Linked DNA regions of Oryctolagus cuniculus. The protein of the gene in region 2 purifies or fractionates together with the protein of the main gene of each other region. This does not show direct contact. Links are inferred from orthologs where the notes say so. Each region holds a gene or a part of one and is shown on either strand. Other genes may lie near its edges.

Region 1 (3,644 bases), on a different chromosome or scaffold from region 2:
ATAGCTGTAAAACAGGTCTTTCTAGATTTGTTTCTTCAGATTTGTACTTTGTTTTGAATTGAGAAATGGACTAAAGGTAAAGACTCTTTTTTTGAAGAGTTTGTCAAGTTTTTCAAATAGTTTTAAATTATATTAGTAGTTACAAACTAAATCCTAGTATTTTAATCAAGGCATTCATTGATATTTGAAAGTATAGGAATATTTGTCTTAGAAGCCTATTCCCACCCCAAATCCCCTTAAGCTGGATGGTAAAAATAGCATTTTAAGTGTTAAAGCATTCATATAAATAGGAGTAAGTGTCTGGATTACATTTCTGTAATAATAGAATTAAAAAGGAGTCAATGCTCCAACATGGGCATCAGTTCATAAAGCAGACTGATAGAATGACAATTGCTTTAAGTAGCACTCTGACCTCAGAATCAGCCCTTAAAGCATTCTGGTCTACCTGAAAAGCCCATGGAGATCATTTCAGGCATGGAAAGCCAAGACACTATGGCAAAAAATGTCCTACATGAAGGACTTCTGTGGGTGAAACTCCAGTAGAAGTGGTGGTCATCAAAGAAGGATGTACTTTTTTCTGCAGGGAGGAGAGAACTTCCACTTTGCTTATGGCCTTGTCTAAATTTTAACAAATTCTGACTTAATTAACTTTAAAGAAGCACCAAGAACGATACATCTTTTGTGAGCAATTAGACATACCTATAACTTATAAGACCTTGATTTATACAGTAAAAGAAAATAAGTCCATACAGTTCTGACGGAGTTTGTGAATTCAGAAGGCTTACATACCTTAGACAGCACTTGTCAAGAGCCTCAGGTGGTCACTGACATCATACATAAGAGTGTTAATTGTTAAATTAACAACAGGAGTCATTGTGCACTAACTTCCCATGCAAGACCTCTGTCCTCCAAAGAGTTGTGTTATCATAGTTAACAGTGAAACTTGTTCTCAAAGATTTATTTTGTTTTAGTGTATTAAGTGAATGATATTTTTAAGTCTCATAAGTTTTACATCTGCCTAAGTGTCCAACTCCTTTGCTTGTTTTCTTAGGTGCTTCCTTAACTAATGATAAAATTTGTTCTCAAGGACTTATTTTCTTTTATTAAGTGGAGGTCTTATGTCTCATAAGTTATAGTTATGTCTAATTGCTCCCAAAAGATGTATCATTCTTGAATGCTTCTTTAAACTTAATTTTCTCAAAAAAAAAAAAAAAGGTAAAATTAACTTCGAGATATAATGACCTTGAACAGCCCTTGTCTCAAGTGTTGAGAAACAGTTTTGTGTGTGTGTGTGCAAATTGTTGAACTCTTTACTTAGTATAGAGTTGATCTTCTGTGTATAAAGTTGATTGAAAATGCATCTTAGGGCCGGTGCTGTAGCTCAGTAGGCTAATCCTCCGCCTTGTGGCACTGGCACACCGGGTTCTAGTCCCGGTCGGGGCGCCGGATTCTGTCCCGGTTGCCCCTCTTCCAGGCCAGCTCTCTGTTGTGGCCCGGGAGTGCAGTGGAGGATGGCCCAAGTGCTTGGGCCCTGCACCCCATGGGAGACCAGGAGAAGCACCTGGCTCCTGGCTTCGGATCAGCACGGTGCGCCAGCTGCAGCGCGCTGGCCGTGGCGGCCATTGGAGGGTATGCATCTTAGTGGAGAATGGGACTGGGAATGGGAGAGGGAAGAAGAAGAGGGGTGGGAGTGTGGGTAGGAGGGAGGGCAGGTATGATGGGAAGAATTACTGTATTCCTAAATTTGTACTTAAGAAATTCTGAAGTTTGTATTCCTTAAATAAAAGGTTTCTTTGGTTTTTTTGGAAAAAAGAAAGCCTATTCCCAGAGGTGACTCTTATTAATGAGTCAGTTTTCTTTGGAAATCTAAAGAATGAGACAATCTTAAATGTTGCTTTCTAACTAAATTTAGTGAAACTCCTATTGAATTTGTCAGTATTTATTACTAATATTATAACTGTTCTGTGCCACTATCCCCCCCCCCCCTTCTTTTTAGGCAACAGTAACTAGTGTCTTGGAATATCTGAGTAATTGGTTTGGAGAAAGAGACTTTACTCCAGAATTGGTAGTGTTATCTTTTTATTTTCATAATTCAGTTTTATTTTCATAGGATACATGAGGTGTGACTGTATGGTATTTGTGTGTGTGTGTGTGTATACTCAAATGTGTTACTAGCCTTGTGCCACACCATGATGTTTTTGGGCAAGGAGGGCTTCATCTACAGTAGTGGTCCTCTAAGATTATATAGCCTGGTCTTAGTTTGTGTAAGTACTTGCTATGTGTATGCATAATGACATGATAGCCTGATAATGTATTTCTCAGAATGTGGCCCTGTCCTTAAGTGATACATGACAGTATACGTGTAATCTGAACTATGCTTGTTTGTGGTGCAATAAGGAACCTACACCAGGGTGTAAATCAACATACTGCTTCCTTCGTTGACAAAGTCTTCCTTTGGCAGGGAGGGGGAAGAGGACAAATGTCAACCAAAGAGTTAATTTATATCCTGGTACAAACTACTTATCTCAGTGCTGAGCAGTAACAGTGTGCTCACAGGCTGGCAACAAGTCTGCAAACCCCACTTCCAGTGGCACTGGTTAAAGTTTAGAATGCATTTTCTAAAATGACCTTGAAATCAGTCCACAAAAGGATCAGAAGTAACAACAACAGCAAGTACTACATGCTAGACATTATTCTAAGAACCTTACATATAATAATTCATTGGGCCCTCAACAATTTATTAACTGTTATTATCCACAATACTCAATTAACATAATACAGCTTGTAATTGGCAGAATTCAGACTCAAGTCAGGGCAGTCTGGCTCTATTTCTACACTGTTAGAACTATGCTACACTGTGTTTACTTTATTGCTTTATATTCACAACTCATTTTTTTTTGGCCTTAAAAGTTGGGTTAATTTGATGAATATTTTTAAATGAATTACCTGTTTGTTCTTTCTAATTTTAATAAATTTTATCATCTTTGAAAGATTTAGTTTTTAGAAACCAGCAGTGTTTCACAGCTAAAGATATTTGTGAAAGAGTGTATCTGAGGGTCTAAATGTAACACAGTAATGAGTTGTATGAATTTATTCATGGAAGATAACCAGGCACAGCTTAGAATATTTAAACTTGTGATTTAATAGTTTTTTTTTTAATCCTATTTAGGGAAGATGGCTTTATGCTTTATTGGCTTGTCTTGAAAAACCTTTATTACCTGAGGCTCACTCATTGATTCGGCAGCTTGCAAGAAGGTGCTCTGAAGTGAGGCTCTTAGTGGTAAGTTTCACCTCACTTTTCCAAATTGAAAGCATCCAGCAGTTTTTATAGTGGTGAAAAATTCCAATAGAAGGGAGACCTTTGGCATATTTTGTTAGTTGCAATTAGAATTGGCCACATAACAAGAAAGTGGAAAATACTAGCAACTTAAATAAAATGGCATTGTTGTCCTCAGATAAAGGAAGTAGGCAGACAAGATGTAATATAGCAGTAACCCAGGCCTTTGGGTTCTGCCACATGTGGCTTCCTCAGGTTCATCTCAGGATTCCAGATGCCTGCTGGAGTTTTGGCCATTATTTTTTTTTAAAGATTTATTTATTTATTTGAAAGTCAGAGTTACACAGAGAGAGGAGAGGCAGAGAGA
Region 2 (4,279 bases):
CCAGGCCAGCTCTCTGCTGTGGCCCGGGAGTGCAGTGGAGGATGGCCCAAGTCTTTGGGCCCTGCACCCCATGGGAGACCAGGAGAAGCACCTGGCTCCTGCCATCGGATCAGCATGGTGCGCCAGCCGCGGCGGCCATTGGAGGGTGAACCAACGGCAAAGGAAGACCTTTCTCTCTGTCTCTCTCACTGTCCACTCTGCCTGTCAAAAAAAAAAAAAAAAAAGAGAGAGACAGAGACAGAGACAGAGATCTTCCGTCTGCTGGTTCGCTTCCCAAATGTCTGCGATTGGGCCAGGCTGAAGCCAGGAGCCAGGACCCCACCCAGGCCTCCCACACAGGCCGTCTTCCTCTGCTCGGGCCCCTGGCCAGGGAGCTGGCGGGAAACGCAGCAGCTGGGACGCCAGCCTCGCCGGTGGGGCTGCCCGGTGTCCCAGCGCCAGCCCCTGACCCCTGCAAGGATTTCAGAAACGACGCCCACGCAGGTCCCGGCGACCGCACCTCACTCAATGCGCCCCAGGACTTGTGAGCCAGCCCTGGCTGTCGTGGGCGTCTCGGGGGTGAACCAGCAAGACCGCTCTGCGTCCCTCTCCTTCCCAATAAGTAAAAATTGTGCCAAAAAAGTGAAGTTAGTAATCTGGGTATCATGAACGAGGCAACGGAGCTCCCCCTAAAGGCATCAAGCACAGTGCGGTCCACTCTCCACCACCACGGGCTGTGCACCCGAAACATTCCAGAAAGCAAACAGCGCGTCTGTACTGAACACGCAGACTTTTCTTCATGCCCTAAATGATAAAGGATAATTTTGGCGCAGGCTTCACATTGTGTTAGGCATCGTTAAGTGAGCAGCGGGCCATTTCACACTCACGGGCAGAATTCGGTCCTGGGACCAAGTGCCCATGCAGGACACCCAGGAAATGCCCGTCCCAGCTCAGGCCCTGGGCACCTGCCGTTAGCCGCGCCCCGATCGCCCTGGGCGCCTCTGTCCCCCTCGCTGTCCCCTCCCGCCCCCCACCCTGCTCTTGTCCTTGAGATGGCCACTACCTGAAGTTGTATTTTTCATCTAAATACCTTTACACTCTCCCTCAGTACAAAGTAAGGAACCAAAAATCAGGTTTTCACACCTCCAGCGCCTAAACAGCGATTGCTGGACGCCCACTAGCCGGACGATCAACGCAACCAACACTATTCCCGTAGGGACTCTTTGCCAGGTGGCGGAAGGGTATTACCCGTTCTCTAGTCAATGCGCATGCGCCAAAGATCCGGGAAGTGTGCTAGGTAAGGGGGCGGGGCTTCGGGATGAGCCTCGCGGGCAAAGGCGGTTGGAGTCCAGGCGCGAGGTGGAAAGCGGCGCTTGGGGACGAGCGCGCGTGCGTAGTACGGCCGCAGCCAGCCGCGGCACGCAGTTGAAGGCGCCGGGAGGCGGGGCAAGGGCCTCGCGCGTGCGCCGTGCCCGCGGCGGCCCCGGTGTCTGTAGGTCGGTTGCGCGCGGCTGGCGCTGCGCGTGCGCAGGGCGACGGCGGAGGGATTTGAGGCCGGGCTCCACCTCCTGCTCCCGTTGCGAGCCGAAGCCGCGCGGGCTCGCGAGCAGAGGCCTGCTGCGCGCGCGGGGGGCGGGCGACCGAGTCCGACGGCGCCGGAGTCGAAGCCGGAGCAGGAGTGCTTGTTGCTGAAGGGCCGCCGCAGCCGCCGCGAGCCCCCGGACCGACGCCAGGCCGAGGAGGGCACCGCGCGGCGGGTGAGTGGGACCCAGTGGTCTTGAGGGGGTGCGGGGCCGCTACCCACAAGCCCCTGCGGTGGGCCGGGGTCCCCTCCCTGACGGCCGCGTCCCCCCTGCAGCACCGTTCCGCGGCCCTCGCCTAGAATTTCCCGGACACTCGGCGCTCTCCCCAAAACACGCCCCCGCCCGCCGCCGTCCCCTTCCCACAGGCCCTTGCGCGTTTGTTGCCCTTTCCCCGCCCCCTCCCTCGCTTCTCGGGGCGCCCTGGACCATTACCCACAATGCCTCTCGCCGCCGGGAGCCCAGACCTGCTACCCACAAGCCCCTGCGTGGTGGGGGCGGGGAGCGGGGTGCGCGCCGACTTCCGGCTACCCAGCGCCTGCGACCCCCGCCCCGGGCGCCTCCCTCGGCCGCAGCCCCGACTGCCCGCTCGCCCGCGCTTCGGCCTTTGTTCCCCCGGCGGCGGCGGCGGCGGCGGCGCGCTCCCCGGGCGAGGCAGCCGCCACAAGGCCTTGACCCTCTCTCCCCAGACCTGGCAAGATGACCCAGTTCCTGCCGCCCAACCTCCTGGCCCTCTTCGCTCCCCGGGACCCCATCCCCTACCTGCCGCCCCTGGAAAAGCTGCCGCACGAGAAGCACCACAACCAGCCCTACTGCGGCATCGCGCCCTACATCCGGGAGTTCGAGGTGAGCCAGGCCGGCTTCGCGGCTGTGGACACTTCCAGGCCTCGGGGGGCCTGGCAGGGCAGCCCCTGGAAGGCGCTGGGGAGGACGCGGCGGGAGGGGTCGGCCGCGGACGCCGGGTGCTTCTCTGCTGTGTGGTCTTGGGCGGTACAGAATCCCCACGATGCATTCGCTGTCTTTGACAGCAGGACGGAGAATAAATAGCATTTACGGCAGAGCGCTTGGTACCAAGCAGTCGATACGTGTCAGCATTTGTGACTGTATTTGCCATGTTTTTAAAACATTTATTTTTCTTTATTTGAAAGATGGAGTTAGAGAGAGAGGGGTCTTCCATCCACTTGTTCACTCCCCAGATGGCCGCAACAGCCATAACTGAGCTGATCCGAAGCCGGGAGCTTCCCTGACTCCCACACGGGTGCAGGGGCCCAAGGACCTGGGTCGTCTTATACTGCGTTCCCAGGCCGTGGCAGAGAGCTGGATCAGAAGTGGAGCAGCGGAGAGTCGAATTGGCAGCCCCTATGGGATGCTGGCGCTGCAGGCTGGGGTGTTAACCCACCGTGCCACAGCACCGGCCCCTGTATTTGCCGTTCTTGTTAACGGAGTGTCGTTCCTGAAGAATTGGCACTGTGTGGGTGGCGTAATTAAGACCGTAGCCTGGGGCTCTCAGATCTGCACTGTGGGTCACCGTTGGTGCAGCTTAGGCTCCGGGATCTCAGTGTTTTCATTTGTAAGGTCGGGTGATGACCCCGCCTCAGGGCGGTCCGTGTCACAGGCCGCTCCAGTGCTGTAGGGAGAGGCTGCGATGGAGGCTCCAGAGCCGAGGTGACACAAGGTGGCTCTTACTGGATTGGCCACTCCCAGTGAACTCGTGCTTGGGAAGTGTTATTAGCCAATTAAATTAATTTAATGGGCACAGGCCAGCAACTCTGTCTGGTGATCGCTGCCTACGGAGTGGCTGCGAGGGCTCAGAGAGCTGCCTGGCCCTCAGGACGTGCCCAGGTGTCAGCTCCTGCTGCTGCTCTCCTGAGCAAGCGCCCCCGCCCCCACTCTGCTTTGTCACGTCCTCAGACACGTCGTCGTCGGTGCAAGACAGGGACCTGTGAGACTATCTTAAAGGAATTAGTATTTATTTAATTGAAAGGCAGAGTTACAGAGGAGGAGGGGAGAGACAGAAAGGTCTTGCGTCCACTGGTTCACTCCCCACATGGCCGCAGTGGCTGGAGCTGTGCTGGTCTGAAGCCAGAAGTCAGGAGTTTCTTCTGGGTCTCCTGTGAAGGTGCAGAGGTCCACGCACTTGGACCATCGTCTGCTGCTTTCCCAGGCCTTAGCTGGACCAGAAGTGAAGCAGCCGGGACTCAAACCAGTGCCTGTGTGGGATGCAGCGCTGTAGAGAGGTTTCATCTTCCACGCTGCTGCAACAGCCCAAGATTGAAAATTTCAATAAATGTAGTGAGATTATTTTGAATGAGAAGGAGAGAGGGAGAGACAGGTCTTCTGTCCACTGGCTCACTCCACAGATGGCTGCAGAAGCTATGGCTGGGCCAGGCCAAAACTAGAAACCAGGAACTCTGTCCAGGTCTCCCACGTGGATGACAGAGACCAAGCACTCAGACCATCGTCTGCTGCTTTCCCAGGCGCATTAGGGAGGTGGATTGTAAGTGGAGCAGCTGGATTCCAGCCGGCACTCTGATAGAGGATGCTGGCGCCACAGGTGGCAGCTTCACTGTGCCATGTGTCAGCTCTTGGGGTTTTCAAAAGAAACACCTGGGGCTGGCGCCGTGGTTCACTTGGTTAATCCTCTGCCTGCAGCACCGGCATCCCATATGTGCACCGGGTTCTAGTCCCGGCTGCCCCTCTTCCAGTCCAGCTCTCTGCTG

The links. Proteins that work in one complex are often made in the same cells at the same time.
Region 1: the proteins of SNRNP70 (region 2) and GEMIN2 purify together in Homo sapiens (affinity purification with mass spectrometry; 5 studies listed by BioGRID and IntAct, counting the BioPlex papers as one, with this or other methods). This does not show direct contact. The link is inferred for Oryctolagus cuniculus from reciprocal best matches to the Homo sapiens genes SNRNP70 and GEMIN2.

What each region holds. Positions count from the first base shown.
Region 1 is NC_091443.1:36,514,701-36,518,344, reverse strand, and holds part of GEMIN2 (gem-associated protein 2), read left to right. Parts: intron 1-1,996; coding exon 1,997-2,065; intron 2,066-3,169; coding exon 3,170-3,280; intron 3,281-3,644. UniProt on the Homo sapiens protein: The SMN complex catalyzes the assembly of small nuclear ribonucleoproteins (snRNPs), the building blocks of the spliceosome, and thereby plays an important role in the splicing of cellular pre-mRNAs.
Region 2 is NC_091449.1:8,223,456-8,227,734, reverse strand, and holds the start of SNRNP70 (U1 small nuclear ribonucleoprotein 70 kDa), read left to right. Parts: upstream 1-1,469; 5' UTR 1,470-1,736; intron 1,737-2,248; 5' UTR 2,249-2,258; coding exon 2,259-2,405; intron 2,406-4,279. UniProt on the Homo sapiens protein: Component of the spliceosomal U1 snRNP, which is essential for recognition of the pre-mRNA 5' splice-site and the subsequent assembly of the spliceosome. SNRNP70 binds to the loop I region of U1-snRNA.